Caenorhabditis elegans: one gene and its partners. The protein of the gene in region 2 interacts with the protein of the main gene of each other region in a pairwise test. Each region holds a gene or a part of one and is shown on either strand. Other genes may lie near its edges.

Region 1 (5,541 bases), 620 kb from region 2:
TAAAAAAAAACAAAAACAATTATTTTCGACCTACTTATTTTATTGATCTGCCTCTATTTTACCGATGAAAGTGTATCAGTCGAAAATTAAAATTATGCGCGGGAAAATTCTGATTTTTTCATTTAAATTTTCGCTTGTCATTCATTCCACAGACCCATTTTTTCTCCCTCTCACCTATTTCACACACTAATTATGGAGCATTTTCATGGAAATCGCTGGGACCAGTTGCGTGCTGTGAGTTCTTGAATTAAAATTCGTTTACAATATTTATATTTTCAGGTAGAAGCTGATATTCTGTGTCCCCCGCCTGCAGATCCATTCCAAATCTTCCCCAGTGGATGGACCAGAGCCTCGGAGCTCAGCGAAAAGGGATGGAGAGAATTGTTTGTCCCAAAATGTTATATAATTGTTTCTATAATAAGATTATTCAGGCTTGACCGCAGAAGATCGCAAAGCCCGCCACCACGTGAACCATCACCAGACGTCAGAAGAGCGATCAGACGGACACCGCCGCCACGTGTCAACCGTGTGGCTCCGATTCGACTTCCAGAGCGGCGTCCATTGCGGCAATTGAACGCCAATGACGCCAGAAGACCAGCACAAGACGCTGCAAATCGCATAAATCAAGAGAATATGCGTGCAGGAAATATCGACAATGGGCAGCCACGTCGTCGAGCACTCTCCCCGACACAATTGCCAGGAGTTCGTGCGATTCCAAAGGACTTCAATCGCTTCTTCCGTGGTCTTCTGACACCTGGAGAGTTCTTTGCCAAGTGAGTTTGGATTTTCTAGCTGTTTTTAGGCTCAATTTAAATATTAAAATTTTCAGATCGCAAACCCGGTATCTTGGGCCATTCGACGAAATGCCAACGGAGGATACACTTCCAGCAGCCGACGAGTACATCATTCTGCAGCGAATGGGACGACTTCCGGATAGCGGTAAATCAATCTTCAGACAGGTCGGCAATCTGTCTACATGATTCCCAGGACTGAAATTGCTGCCCCTCAACGTTTTATCCACATTTTTCCAGTTGAGATCGCATTTTTATCTTTAAAAAATTTACTAAACCTTATTGTTGCCATGAGTCATAATTGTGATATACCTATAATTCCTTAATATAATCAATCTTCTTGAATCCACCCCACTCATTGATTAGTTGTGTGCAATAATAACTTTCGTTTAATGTTTGTAGTCTATTGGTATCGCTGTTTTAGCGTTTTTATGTTGTTTTATAATGAACCAACACCGTTTCCCCATTTATACTTGCGTAGGACAAAAATAAATCAATTGTCTATCAAACTCGGTTCCTTTCTTGTTTTTTTTTTGAAGAATTAAAAAGGTATCACTCCTGTTTCGAGACTATCTAGTGCGATGTAAATTTCGCTCTCAAAAAACCTACTAAATTAAAAAAAGTTTGCCGATAAAAGTATTATTTATTTTTAATTATTGAATTTTTAACACTCTTTGCAAAGTCTTGATGTTCTGTGAAACTTCAAATATTTATTTAAGCGAATCTGAATGCCCTTCTCCAAAAAATTGCATCCTATCAGTGTTAAATTTTGAATTCCCGCAAATTTGCCTACTGCGGGGTCGTAGAAATCCTCTTCCATGTGGCGTTAGTTCGGAGCATCGTTTGCAGTTTGTCATCAAAACTTTTTCGGATTTTTCTCAATTTCGTTATATTTTTTTGTTGATTAACTTTAATTAAAAGCTATTCTTCAGATAATGGCAGATGACGGTCTCGGTGACGTGCCAATGGAAACGGAAAGTGTGAGTTTTAGAATTTGCCGAATTGAAGTGGAATTTATTTTGCAGATGCCACAGTACACAATTTCCCATGTTATTGAAGCCCACAAATCCGACACAAAGGCTTTGGCAGTTACTCAAGGCGGATGCTTGATATCGGGTGGTCGTGATGAGACGGTTAAATTTTGGGCAAAAAAAGGAAAACAGTATACGAAAACGCACGCCTTTGAACAACCGAAAGGAATAACTGTGAACTCCATTGCATACGCTGAACTAGCGGACGGATGGAGACTTTTTGTTGGCCGAAGAGATGGAACAATTGCAGTTTTTGGCCCGAGTCAGGCGGAACCATATGCAATTTTCAATGAGCATAAACAGAATGGTATTTTTGCTTTAAAAAATATTCAAAAGTGCAAAATGAATAATTTCAGTTTGCTGTCTTCACATTAACGAAAAAGCGACTCACATGCTGAGTGGTTCGTGGGATTCCAACGTCATCATCTGGCCGATTACCGAGTTGAACTCGTCGTCATTCACTGTAATATATTTTTAATCGTTTTTTACTGGATTTTAAAGTTAAATTAGTTCCAGACTATTGTTTGTCCAGGCCATACCTTGTCTGTGTGGGCTCTCGCTTCTTTCCCGGATCTTCCCAACACTTATCTATCTGCCAGTGCTGATAAAACAATTCGTATGTGGTTTGGAGATACCACTCTCTCAGTTTTCAAAGGCCATACTGATGTCGTGCGAGCTCTCGTCGTATTATCAAGCTCTCACTTTTTATCTGCTGGAAACGATGGACATATCATTCATTGGGATGTTGCATCAGCGTCGATTCTCAGAAAATTTGCAACTCAGGCACATGAATTCATTTATAGTATGACATTGAGCGATTCCCACATATTAACAACTGGTGAAGACGGAACACTTGAATTTTGGGCAATAGATGGAGGCAAAGATGGAAATTTGGCAATTGTTTCTGAAGCAGTTATTCAATTACCAACTACGAACACTTGGGATGCTAAAGTTTTATTAAATTCCGATATCGCTGTGGCTGGAAGTGATGGACGGATCTATATCATGACCACTGATAAGAATAGAAAAGCTGACGATGATATCTTAGATGCATTTGATGCAGAAGTTGTCGCAAAGCTTACTGCGAAGACGGAAAGGATGAAGCAAGAAGAGCATGAAACTGTCACTATCAAAGTTGACATAGACGATCGACCGACTCAACTAAATCTCAAATACAAAAAGGGAACAGATCCGGGTCTTTGTGCTCAAGAGTTTTTGAGTGAGAATAATTTGCCAATTCACTATCTGGAGGAGATTACTAGATTCATCAAGGTTTGCTTTTTCCATTAATATGTTTCAATGTTGATTTTCATTTATTTCAGGACCGTATTCCAGAAGCTCGGGCATTTGACTTGAAATCTGGCAAAAAAGTTATAGTCGACGGAAAAGAGTACGATTACGCATTAGGTGTTAATTTTGGAAAAGGCGAGCCGGACAAGCAAATGCCATTCAACGTGAATGAGAGCCCTCAGTTTGCTGCTCAACGCTTTGTGGAGAGACATCAACTTCCTGTGAGCGTTATCCCTTCTCTTGCTGGAATGATCAGTCAGGAGATGGACAAGTTGTCGAAAGGAGCTGCTTCTGCTCAGTCTGGATATGAGGATCCGTTTACTGGACCAGGAAGATATGTACCTCAAGGTTCATTGAAATAAAGAAATCAATAACTCCACAATTTCAATATTTGAATTCCAGGTTCGTCGAATTCTGGCGGTCACGGTGCAGATCCTTTCACCGGATCCGGAAGATACGTACCTCAAGCATCAAACTCGAGTGGCTTTGACACTGGTTTTTCTGGTGATCCTCTTACCGGAGACGGTGGATATCGTGCGTCCGCACCTGAAAATACTGGAAGTCATGCCGTTCCTCTATCATCTCTTCCACAAAACAAGAAGAAACCACGTGGACCATTGGTTCCAGTTCCTGATTTTTACATTGTACGTTTTCTAATTCTTCTCCTCAAAATTCAACATACTTAATTCAATGTATTCAGATTGGGCTTGCTGGAAAAGGCGAGAAAGCAATTGCAAAACTGAAAGAGCTAAATGAAAAGCAGGATGCATTCCAATTGAATCCTGATCAGATTAATGGCCTTGAGGAACTTTTTGTTCTCCCAACCTCTTCGAATTATTCATCAGAAGTCACGCAGTCTGCATTCGAAATGTCTCTACAATGGCCAGTGGAGCACTTGACGCCAGTTCTTGATTTTCTGAGAATCGCACTAACTCATCATTCACTGAATTCGTATTTCTGTGATCGTGAACGTGGTCAGGAACTTGTCGGAAGATTAATTGCTATTCTTGTGTCAGATCCGGCTGATGTGGCTTTGAAGGTTCTGGTTTGTAGGTAAGAACAAATATATATTTTCGTCAAGATATAATCGTTGTAATTTATTTACAGATGCATCGCAAATGCATTTTCGCATCCAGTCGGTCGCAACCTGTTTGCTTCCACCGAGCTCTCTACTCTAGCCCCACTGGTTGTTCGTCAAGTTCTTAATGAAAAGACGGTTCTCCAAATGTCTGCTGCTACAGCTCTTGCCAACTGGTCTCTTGCTTTATTGCAACAATCCGAGCAATGCGAACAGCTGGGACCCAAGGAAGACTTATTGAGAGCCATTTTGAACGTAATTCTTCAGATTCGAGAATTTAACAATATCTTCTATTTTTAAGGGAATCGAAAGCGTCGACTCATTCGGATATTTGGGTGAAGACGCCATCATTCGTCTGCTTCAAGCATTAGTTACAGTCATGTGGGGAGATGCCTCAGTTATTCGAGTGAGTTTTCTAGAAATAACAAACATTGTAAACGCAATATTTTCCAGCTTGCCAAAAATCGTAACATTGCCCAAATTGCCGCTCGTCTCAAGGATGCAGTTTCGAACGACTCGGGAAAAAATATTGCTCGTGATATTGTGGAAATGACTTATGCTGTATGAAAAGTGTTCTAAAAGACCGGTTCAATTTTATTTGTATATAAATTGTCCAGTGCTTGTATTTTTTTTCCGGTAAAACCATTTATTTTTCACAGCCCGATTGTACTAGAATTTCAGCCCGATCTAATTTATTTGTTCTTTCTCTATTCATGTTATGTAAAAGACTACATGCTAGCCTGAAAGTTTCCTTATCAATCAATATGAACATGTTCTTGATGTCTTTCTTTTTACCGGTTCAATGGATATTTTACCACAACAATTATCGCAGCTCAGTTGAATTGTGTAGAATTTTTCAAGCTTATACTTCTAAAAGATATTCTCCGTTTTTCACATTATACTTTTCAAAAGATGCGCGCAATGTTCAGAACTCCACGGATGCCACAACGGAAAACCGCAGCGATTCTGGTGATCGGCGATGAGATTCTGAAGGGGACAACAAGAGATACAAATTCCCATTTTCTATGCAAAAGATTGCATAAATTAGGTGTAAACATTAGGAAAGTAAGTGAAGTTGGAGGAAAAACATGAAGGAATTGTGAAGTCATTTTCAGATTTCTGTAATTGGAGATGATATTTCTGAAATTTCTCGCGAAGTTCAGTCTGCCTCTGGGGCATACGACTATGTGATCACAAGTGGTGGTGTTGGGCCGACTCATGATGATAAAACATATTTAGGTAAGATTACTGTTTAAAAATATTGGAACTTGTAGTTAAAAAAAATCAAAAAATTATATTCTCCTCGTAGCGAAAACTACAGTAATTCTTTAAATGGCTACTGTAGCGCCTG
Region 2 (5,880 bases):
TTCGTGACGGTGTTTCTTACAAAAATGTGCATATTTGCGGCAAATTTTGTGTTTTCAGATATTTTTAAGAATTTGAAAACTATTGGCACTTATCAGTTACTATCAATATTAATATCTGATCTAAAAGATTCATGTGACAGACAACGAGGACAAGGAATTTTTGAAAATTGGCCAGAAACGAGTTCAACAAGCTTGAAGATAAGCAACTATAGTACTCAATTCGGCATTTTCTTTGTTAAAAACCTCATGACTATGTACGAAATGCGTGCACTCCTATGAGTGTGGAGACAATATCGATGGAAAATGATATCAATGAATGAAAAAGCACTTCTACTTTCCAAAAGATCAAGAACAACTGGATCGCTAAATAGGTTTGATGATTGATATTAAAACCTGGTCCAAAAAATTACGTTAAACTTAGGCAACTTATCTTAAATACAGCTTCCCATTATCAACGGAACAACCAGTCATTGGTCATGAGACAATTCCACCTACACAATCACAAATAATAGTTTGAATATGGCAACACAATCGTACACAATTATGATTACAGACATCGTACATTTATATGTCAAAAACGGCAATACATACAAAACATTGGGAGGGATGCAAAAAAATAAATGGGATATACTTTTTGATCAACTGGGATGTAGGTATCTACAAATTTTTTCTTCTCGCGAAGATCATCCGTAACCATTAATTTCTAAAGCGAAAACATGGGCTCAATTACAATAAATAGTGGTAAATCGGGGGTTGGAAAGGGGTGAAATACGAGGTGAAAAAGTGGGTATGGGAGAAAATAAAACGAGTATCATACATAGACTCAGTAGATAAACTCAATACATTAGTTATAAAGGTCGTCATCATCCTGAGCAGGTACAGGGGCAGATGGGGCATCGCTTCCGCGTTGTTCTCCTGGGAATTTGAAGTTGTTTCCAAAGCCACGAGATTGTTGCAATGTTTGTGCAAACATTTCGTACCTACAAACATATTTTATAGACATACAATAAAACCATTATCAAAACTCACTTTCTGATGTCATTGTCTGTAACAGAGCGTCTGGCAAACTTCATGGCTTCCTCGAAGTGAGCACGAGTAATTTCTGGTACTGGATCAACTGCATCGTCTTCCATGAGCTCCTCACCGCGAGCTTGGCGATCTTGACGTTCCTTCTCAATCCGAATTTCCTTTTCGATCGATTCGCGAATAGCCAGCTTACACGCTCTGAAAATGTCATCGTTCACACCAGGAAAAATAGAATATCGGGGCCTTAGCGCGACTTTAGATACTCTAACTATTATAATTTACTGTGAGACGATTTTTTATATAGCACAAATATGACACTCGCGTAACCATGAACACAAAACTTGGCAGAATCTGAACTGCAAAACGCAGCTAAGAAGAGCCAAGAATGTGTAGATTTCGCAAGTTCTTAAGTTGTGCGTTTTGAACAAATTTTCAAATAATTAAATTACTCACCTCTGACAAATTTCGGTCAAATCGGCTCCAGAGAATCCAACAGTGTTTTTGGCCAAGAAGGTCAAGTCAAGATCCTTGGAGAGTGGGGTTTTACGAAGAGAAGCTTTCAAAATTTGGTGCCGAGAAGCTTCGTCTGGGAGTGGGATGTAGATAAGCTGATCAAGGCGACCTGGACGAAGAACAGCTGGATCAATGATATCAGGTCTGTTTGTAGCTCCGATGATGAACACATTTTTCTTCGCGTTCATTCCATCCATTTCGGTGAGCACTTGATTGATTACACGATCCGATGCACCTCCTCCATCACCGCCGGCGCCTCCACCTCTTGCCTTGGCAATCGAATCCAACTCATCGAAGAACAACACGCAAGGAGCAGCTGCACGAGCCTTGTCGAAGACATCACGGACGTTAGCTTCCGATTCTCCGAACCACATTGTGAGCAATTCTGGACCCTTGATGGAGATGAAATTGGCTTGACACTCGTTGGCAATTGCCTTGGCAAGAAGTGTCTTACCACATCCTGGTGGCCCATAGAACAAAACTCCTCTTGATGGCTGCATTCCAAACTTGAGATATTTTTCTGGGTGTTCCACTGGATACTGAACCAATTCTTGAAGTTCGCGCTTGACGTTTTGAAGACCTCCAATGTCGGACCAAGTTGTATTCGGAGTTTCGACAACAGCCTCGCGGAGAGCGGATGGGGAAGACTTTCCTTGAGCAAAACGGAAGTTTTCCATTGTGACAGCGAGTGAATTAAGAACCTCTGCATCAATTTGGTCATCTTCGAGATCAATGAGCTCCATCTTTTCACGAATCTGTTGAAGAGCGGCTTCCGAGCACAACGATGCCAAATCGGCACCAACGAATCCGTGACATTCATTTGCAATTTGTTCAAGATCAACATCATCCGCGAGCTTCATGTTTTTCGTGTGAATGCGCAGAATCTCAAGCCGGCCGACTGCATCTGGAATTCCGATATCGATTTCACGATCGAATCTTCCGAAGCGACGAAGAGCACCGTCAATCGAGTTTGGACGATTTGTTGCAGCAATGACCACAAGGTTAGAACGACCCTAAAATAATTATTATTATCGAATCATATAAAATTTAAAAGCATACCTTGACTCCATCCATAAGTGTAAGCAATTGAGAAACAATTCTGCGCTCAACTTCTCCATTGGTCTTCTCGCGTTTTGGTGCAATGGCGTCAATTTCGTCAATAAACAGAATAGCTGGTTGATTCTTCTCGCATTCTTCGAAAGCCTTACGAAGATTTGACTCGGATTCTCCAGACATCTTTGACATTACTTCAGGTCCGTTGATAAGGAAGAAGAAAGATCCGGTTTCATTAGCAACAGCACGTGCAATAAGAGTCTTTCCTGTGCCAGGTGGACCGAAGAGAAGAATTCCACGTGGTGGCTTGATACCAATAGCCTTGAAAAGTTGGGGATGTCGAAGTGGCAGTTCAACCATTTCCTTGATCTGAGCCAATTGCTTCCGAACTCCTCCCAAGTCATCATAACCAATATCATTCATGCTCTCTTCTTCTTCTTCTCTCTTGATCGGATCTCCTTCGTAGTGAATCATGGTATCAGGTGACACAATGCAGGCTGGAGCTGGCTCAGTTTCGACAACTTTGAATTCCACAGTTCTCATGGCAGCTTGAACAGTGAATATATCTCCCTTGTGAAGTGGGCGGTAAGCCTCCAGGAAGTATGGCTTGAGGAAAACATCGAACAAGTTTCCAGTGAGTCCTTCGATAGTGTCATCAATAGGGAGCACGTGAATGCGGGTTCCGTAACTGAGATTTGGAGCTGGCGTAATGCTCACGACGTCTCCGAGGCGAATACGAAGATTGTTGCGGACAACACGGTTCATGCGAACTTTCTCGTTTGGACAGGACTCATCAGAGACAATGATGGCGACAGATTCCTTTCGCTTCTTTCCCTGCAAAAATAATCATTAGAATCGAAAAATAAAATTTAATTGTGTGACAACCGTTTAAAAATCGAGATCAGCACCTTTGCGTGGTGTTAGGATTACGAAATACTTTGAAACGATTCGTTACTTGATCTATATCGCACAACTATGACACTCATAAAACCATCAGCAAATAAACAGTACTAGCTTCAAAACAGAACGTTTTTCAGCCTATATTGTAAATCACAGACATTACAAGTTCTTAAATTGTGCGTTTTAATCAAAAATTAAAAAGAAACACATACCTTCAGGATGACAGCATCTCCACGGAAAAGTCCCAGTTCGTCCATTTTAGCTTGGGAAACTGCGATGACGGAATTATCATCCTGCTCGGACTGATCGACGATCAAGCGATTCGGCTTTACCTTGTCCTTGAGAATAGCTGTCGACAGCTCATCATTTTTCTTCTCTTTTTCGCTTTGATGCGTTGGAACCGAGGCCATTATGTACAATTTAAGACCTAAAATAAGAAGAATGAGTGTCCAAAATGATAGTGGGAACGAAACTATAAAAGAAAATTGAGATTTTAAAAAAGTTCACGAAATTATTTCTAAAAACGACACAGATTTGAAAATTGTCATCATCCACGCATATAGAAGCGTGTTTTCAACAAGTGTACGCAAAAAGTGTTTGGTGATTCTGACGTTAGGGCGCGGTTGCTTTATAATTTTAGCGCGAAGTTTGAAAAGGATTTTCACTGTTCAAAAAATTTTAAAATTTCTAAATAACGAGACGTATTTGTAAATATTTGCGATGAAAAGCGTTGAAACTTCAAAAAAGTTCTTTGAAAACGGAAACGCAGTTTACAATTTTTTGAAATTTTTCGGAAAAAAGGAACTAGTAAATAAAATCTACCGTTTGCACGTTTGCGGTAATGTATGTAGCTGGGTCCAGGATGAAAATATGAAAAGGAAAAAAAGTGGACTGTAATGTAATGCTGGTTTGGAAAAATAACTGTTATTTGCAATAACGCACATCAGCGTTTGGGTCTCGAAACGATATGCCGTTAGTAAATGCAGCACTTTGTAGATCGATAAAAATGATTTGCAGCATCACCCGATCGATAGACGGAGAACGAAGAGATGTGAAACGAGACGAGAGGAGAATAGTCTTAAGATTTTGATTCTTGATAGTTTCCCAGATCTATGAATTTAATAAGTTGAATAATTTCCAAATTATTTATTCCCGATCGAGAATTAGAATAAATTAAACAAATAGATTAATGGATTAACATTTGCCATTGGATGGTCTTCTTTTGATTCCAAGAGCACGATTAGCTTCATCAATTTGAAGTTTTTGAAGGGAACGACGTTTACGACCTCCACCTCCACATCCACAGCATCCGCATCCGCAACCACATCCACAACAGCATGGTCTACAGCAGGTACAACATCTAGTACAGCAACAAGTTCTACAACAAGTACAACAACATTTGGGTCTACAACAGCAGCAGCATCTTGGTCTGCAACAGCAACATCCACATCCACCACCACCTCCTCCACATCCACAACATCCACAACATCCTCCATTTCTTTTAACACGAGAAGATCCGATAATTGATGTTTCAGATGAAATTATAGATATTTCTGTTGTTGATACTGGCAAAACTCCTGATTCAACCTATAAGTTTCTTAAATACGAGAACTAAATCTATTAATCTAACCTGTGAAATCGATACAATTGTATAAATCAGTACAACTAATGTAGATCCAATTATGAATTTGGTCATTTTGATCGAATAGAAACTGATGAATATCTCAATTTTATGGTGCTTTTATATAACTTTTCCATGATCCAAAGTGTCTTAGTTTTTGTGTTCAATTTCCATGACGCGGCTCGCGCGGAGAGATCACAAAAAATGGTTTCCGGCAAAAGTGTCAAATGAGAGACGACAAACACGTAAGAAGAAGAGGGTATTTAATGGATGGAAATTCGAAAACCATATCGAACGCTAATAATCTGAAATGAATAAGATCGTACTTCTGACTCTCTTTGCCCTTATTGCTATTTCACAGGTATCGGTAAAGGTTCTAAATGTTAGAAAACACAATACTATTATAGGTTGAATCAGGAGTTTTGCCAGTATCAACAACAGAAATATCTATAATTTCATCTGAAACATCAATTATCGGATCTTCTCGTGTTAAAAGAAATGGAGGATGTTGTGGATGTTGTGGATGTGGAGGAGGTGGTGGTGGATGTGGATGTTGCTGCTGCAGACCAAGATGCTGCTGCTGTTGTAGACCCAAATGTTGTTGTACTTGTTGTAGAACTTGTTGCTGTACTAGATGTTGTACCTGCTGTAGACCATGCTGTTGTGGATGTGGTTGCGGATGCGGATGCTGTGGATGTGGAGGTGGAGGCCGTAAGCGTCGTTCCCTTCAAAAGCTTCAAATTGATGAAGCTAATCGTGCTCTTGGA
Region 3 (4,256 bases), on a different chromosome or scaffold from region 2:
AGAAAAAACATAAATTTCATAATTCTTCAATCAACGGTTTCTTTGTAATTTCCGGTTTCGAATCCTCTCCTTTTGACTGAAATGCTTCTGGAAGAGCTTCGACATTCTGAATTCCGACATCTCTGTCATCAACTGCGCTGTTCATCTCCTTGAACACGTCTAAATCAATTTCAATCCTCTGTGTACTACTCGCTGTGCTCTTTTCGTCAGTTGTGACAGGTACCTCTTCCGAAATCGATTCTGAATTCGAATCGCTGTCGTCCGAGCTGTCATCCTCGACATTTTCAATATGAAAAGCGTCAGCTGACGCGTTTTCCGGCATATTTCGATTGGCTTCTTCCATTTGAGGCAGGAACGATTGTAATCTTAAATTTCGAATTAATTTTTCTTAAAAATTAAATAATTGCTTCAAAGTAACCTGGTTAATAAAGAAGATGGCCCGACAGGTGCGATGATGGGTTTTCCATTTAAAAAATTGGAGATCGTGGGATCCTGTGACATCTGAAAATGGTTTTTGGAGAAGCACAACTGAAAAAAGATGCAGTGGGCGGAATTTCGGCTTCTTCTTGATAGAGTGAATAATTTTCAAAATAAAAATCGATATACAACGAATAGAGAAACAGTTAAAGTGCGGTTCTGTACAAAATCTTTAATATGCTGCTCGAATCTTTTTGCATCTTATAAGTTAAATACAACGAAAGCGATTAGGCGAAATAAAACATCAGCAGTACCGGAAAAAAATAATGACAAACATATCACACTAATAGCCGGGAATTATATTTTTAAATTATACAAAAATTAGTCGGAAGCTTCAAGCTCCTGGATAATTTCGATATGCTCATCGGCAACGATTTGTCCATAATCAGACAGGTTTTCAGCGAAGACGACATGAAGAAGAGCAGCTGGAGCAAGACTGAGTTGAGCCAACGATGCAGATTCATCCTCCACGAGTTGACTGGCAGCGTCACGAAGAGTGAATTCGGATGTCGAAAGAGCATCGGAAAGAGTTGAAGCAACGAAGACACGGACTGCGGAAAATGGTTCATGGCAACCAAATACTCCCTGGAAAAATAAAATAAAATAATTAATCACTTGAATTTCTGGAATATACATACCTGCATCAACAAATTTCCAGGCAATCTGACACGAATCAACGTATATTTGTAGCGATAATTGGTCATTTGTTCGTCTTTTTGTCTCATTTCCTTCGTACGCAATGTCAGCATCTAAAAATTCAATTTATTGTGTGATTTTTCAATTTAAAGCTCCACTCACTCTCTCCACCTGCATCTCCTTATTTCTCTGTTCGGCTTTGAGTTCAGCAGTCGACAAATTGTAAAAATCATCTGCCAACTTTGGTGCTTTCGGTTTTTGCCCCTCTTTTAGCTTGAAGATCTCTAGATTTCTAGCAACCTTTATAGGCACAGCCTGCCCATCCTTCAAAGCTTCCAGAGCCTCCACCAAATGAACATCTGATGGTTTTGTGAACACAAGGAACTTGTCTTCTCCTTCAGATTTCTCAGTAAATCCAACAGCTTCAAGGAATGCACGTCCTCCAACTACTGATGCAACTCGTTCTTGGAATGCCTTATTTCCCAAACGAATTGATTTGTATTTATCCTCTCCTGGGTGTTCCAAAATGTTTTGACAATACTTGCAGATTGTTTCGATGGCAGTCTGAAATTTAGAAGATTGTTTGTTTTTCTACCAAAACAACGAATTTCGTACAGTTTAGGTGAAACGACCGATTCGCAGATTTACAAAAATCCGTGTTGATTTTTTCTTTCTGTGCGACGCTGATTTTTGCGAAATTTGCGGATAGATAGTTTAATTTCAACGGTAATGTGACAAAAATGTCACAAAAACTATGATGGCGGTTCAAAATTTTGAGAAAAAAAAAACGGGCAAATTTTAGCGAAACTCTTCAATTTGCCGAAATATTCCGTTAACAAAGTAACTTTTTTAGCCTATTGTTAGCTAAAAATGATCAAATTGGCTAAATAACGAAATAACGTTATTATAACATGTGAGAAACTATTACAATAGATTAAAAAACATTTTCCGACCGCTGCAACACACAAAAGTTGACAAAATTGGAGATTTTAGCCAGAATGAGTTCATTTTTTTTCGATATTTTGAAATTCTGAGCATACACAAACCTCCTTGGGATGTTTCTTATTAAGTGAATAGAGCATCAAAACTGCGGCAATCACTTTATCGTTTTCATCATCCGCCTCGCTGATCTGATCAGAAAGGAAATTTTTGATATCTTCAAGAAGATCTGCTTTCGAGCGAATATGATGCTCACCGAGCAACTCGGAAGTGTAGAGAACACGTGATATTGCGGATGAATGCTCGAGGTGTTGCTCACGGTCGGGTTGCTGCAGTGATGAAGTCCCAGAAATGTTGAGATCTTCAACCTGACGTCTCTCTTCTTCCAGCTCTCGTTTTGCAATCATTTGAATTCTTCGTTTTCCAGCATTTTGTTGAGGTTCATTCTTCTGCATCCGTTTGAAAGCAGCCTGAGCAGCAATATCAGCGGCCGCGACACGATCAATTTGGCCTCCCTGGGCGGCTCCAGCGTGGGCAGAAGGCTGCGAAGATGACTCGCCGGATGACAAACGAACACCTTCACCGCTCTTTTTGAAGTGATTCTGGACTCGCTTTTTGTTGAGGAATTTCTTGAAACTATTCATTCTTCTTTCTCTGAAATAAATTGGAATGGTTATCAGTGCAGAACTTGTTAAATATCTTACTATTTTTTTCGTTGCTCTTATTTCTCGCTTTCTCAATGTTCTCTCTTATGATAAACTCCTGAATGATTGGTGAATATCGATTCCACGCAATGATAGTGCCAACAGAGAAGATGAAAAGTAGAATAGAAAGAAAGAGTCCGAGAGCTACCTGAAATTTTCAAATTTTGGCCATTTTAGACAGAAACAAGAACAATAATTCACGTTAAAATTTCGAAAATCTCAAAAACATGTTCTCTAACGCACTTGTTTTTTATCCAACGAATAATTATCACAGAAGATAATCAAAGCACGATAAACGTTTTCTACTCCGAATGCTTCTGAGGAATCTGGAAGCGCGTCGGAGCTCTGATAAGCAACTGAATTTGTGCTCAACGGAGTCTGCTCAGTTGTCGGCTCGGCGACCAGAGGCTCTCCCATGCAAGAATAGCTGGAATTGTAGTTCTTTTTCAGAGAGATTTGCGGAAATTAATGATTGCGAAATAGGACAGAAGGCGATGACGACATTTGTGATATTGCACGGTGATAAACATATATTTTGGGTTGTATACAAACTTCAAACTTCATTTCAGAAAATTTGAAAAAAAGCTCATCTCGAAAACGCTATAAAAAACTTGGAGTTTTTCTATTGGAGAAAACTAAACTGGGGAAAGCTTTCGGACAGAAAAATATTATCTGCTGTATTTTTCATGATGTCGTTAATTTTGTGACTTAATAAACTACAAAAAAATGTAGGTAAAACACTTTTGCGTGAAAAGTTTGTGATTGTTTTCCCAAAATACGTTTTTGCGGTTAAATGTTCGTTTTGAGATGTTTATCTTACAATTCTTTTATATTTTGGACAATAATTATATTCTATGAAGTAATCTTTGATTCTGAATAACTTTTTTCCGAAAACAATTCGTTAAAACAACAAAATTTTAGAGAGAAAAATAAAAAATAAGCAAAATAAAAAATAAAAATAGCGAGTGTCGTAAATTGTGTCGCCAAGTCCGCAGTTACGTAACCTCGCGCCGCGCTCTTGCGATAGCAAACCCCGCCCACTTTTCTGTGCACTCCACATTTTCGTCGATTTTTCATTGAAATTTTTCTTCTGTTATTTTGTTTATTTTTGTCGATTGACGACATAATTTTAATCTCAAGCGCTGATAAAATTATTATTTCCAATTTTTAGAAATCACTTTTCATCAAAATACTCACGAAATCCAAGCAAACTGTTTATTTTGGGATAGTATACTCATTCTTCTTAATTTTTTGTTAAATTCCATTGAAATCTGACATTACCTTATGCATATTTATGTTCTTGTTTTTTCTACAATTTTTGCAGTCCTCTTTGCTTCTGTATTTCTCGTAACTTCAACTTTCCAAATTATTTCGTAATATTTTCAGCAATGCCGAAGAATAAGGGAAAGGGAGGAAAGAATCGCAGAAGAGGAAAGAATGAGAACGACTTCATGAAGCGCGAGCTCGACCTCAAGGAGGAGGGACAAGGTAGATTTTATA

What was found.
Region 1: the proteins of cdc-48.1 (region 2) and ufd-3 interact in a two-hybrid assay, tested with the Caenorhabditis elegans proteins (one study listed by BioGRID).
Region 3: the proteins of cdc-48.1 (region 2) and ubxn-6 interact in a two-hybrid assay, tested with the Caenorhabditis elegans proteins (one study listed by BioGRID).

The regions. Positions count from the first base shown.
Region 1 is NC_003280.10:9,939,035-9,944,575, forward strand, and holds ufd-3 (Ubiquitin fusion degradation protein 3 homolog), read left to right. Parts: upstream 1-1,723; 5' UTR 1,724-1,726; coding exon 1,727-1,771; intron 1,772-1,816; coding exon 1,817-2,129; intron 2,130-2,178; coding exon 2,179-2,285; intron 2,286-2,332; coding exon 2,333-3,094; intron 3,095-3,144; coding exon 3,145-3,460; intron 3,461-3,514; coding exon 3,515-3,756; intron 3,757-3,812; coding exon 3,813-4,165; intron 4,166-4,219; coding exon 4,220-4,445; intron 4,446-4,491; coding exon 4,492-4,596; intron 4,597-4,643; coding exon 4,644-4,757; 3' UTR 4,758-4,972; downstream 4,973-5,541. Other genes in the region: C05C10.5 (uncharacterized protein), read left to right, coding at 193-234, 280-383, 432-773, 830-980; flad-1 (Molybdenum cofactor biosynthesis protein-like region), read left to right, coding at 5,103-5,255, 5,306-5,429. UniProt on the Caenorhabditis elegans protein: Plays a role in protein ubiquitination, sorting and degradation through its association with cdc-48.1 and/or cdc-48.2.
Region 2 is NC_003280.10:10,559,489-10,565,368, forward strand, and holds cdc-48.1 (Transitional endoplasmic reticulum ATPase homolog 1), read right to left. Parts: upstream 3,920-5,880; 5' UTR 3,903-3,919; coding exon 3,705-3,902; intron 3,577-3,704; exon of another isoform or gene 3,464-3,576; intron 3,427-3,463; coding exon 2,599-3,426; intron 2,553-2,598; coding exon 1,480-2,552; intron 1,447-1,479; exon of another isoform or gene 1,229-1,446; intron 1,225-1,228; coding exon 1,030-1,224; intron 981-1,029; coding exon 845-980; 3' UTR 543-844; downstream 1-542. Other genes in the region: C06A1.6 (uncharacterized protein), read right to left, coding at 4,687-5,079, 5,123-5,188; C06A1.7 (uncharacterized protein), read left to right, coding at 5,424-5,474, 5,521-5,880. UniProt on the Caenorhabditis elegans protein: ATP-dependent chaperone which probably uses the energy provided by ATP hydrolysis to generate mechanical force to unfold substrate proteins, disassemble protein complexes, and disaggregate protein aggregates.
Region 3 is NC_003282.8:4,806,792-4,811,047, forward strand, and holds ubxn-6 (UBX domain-containing protein 6), read right to left. Parts: upstream 2,697-4,256; coding exon 2,160-2,696; exon of another isoform or gene 1,678-2,159; coding exon 1,276-1,677; intron 1,227-1,275; coding exon 1,116-1,226; intron 1,063-1,115; coding exon 799-1,062; 3' UTR 635-798; downstream 1-634. Other genes in the region: H06H21.11 (uncharacterized protein), read right to left, coding at 17-365, 419-501; H06H21.37 (uncharacterized protein), read right to left, coding at 2,693-2,706, 2,757-2,904, 3,000-3,173; eif-1.A (Eukaryotic translation initiation factor 4C), read left to right, coding at 4,145-4,244. UniProt on the Caenorhabditis elegans protein: Probably acts as an adapter for ATPase cdc-48.1 and/or cdc-48.2, conferring substrate specificity. Involved in the lysosomal clearance of cellular material in diet restricted conditions.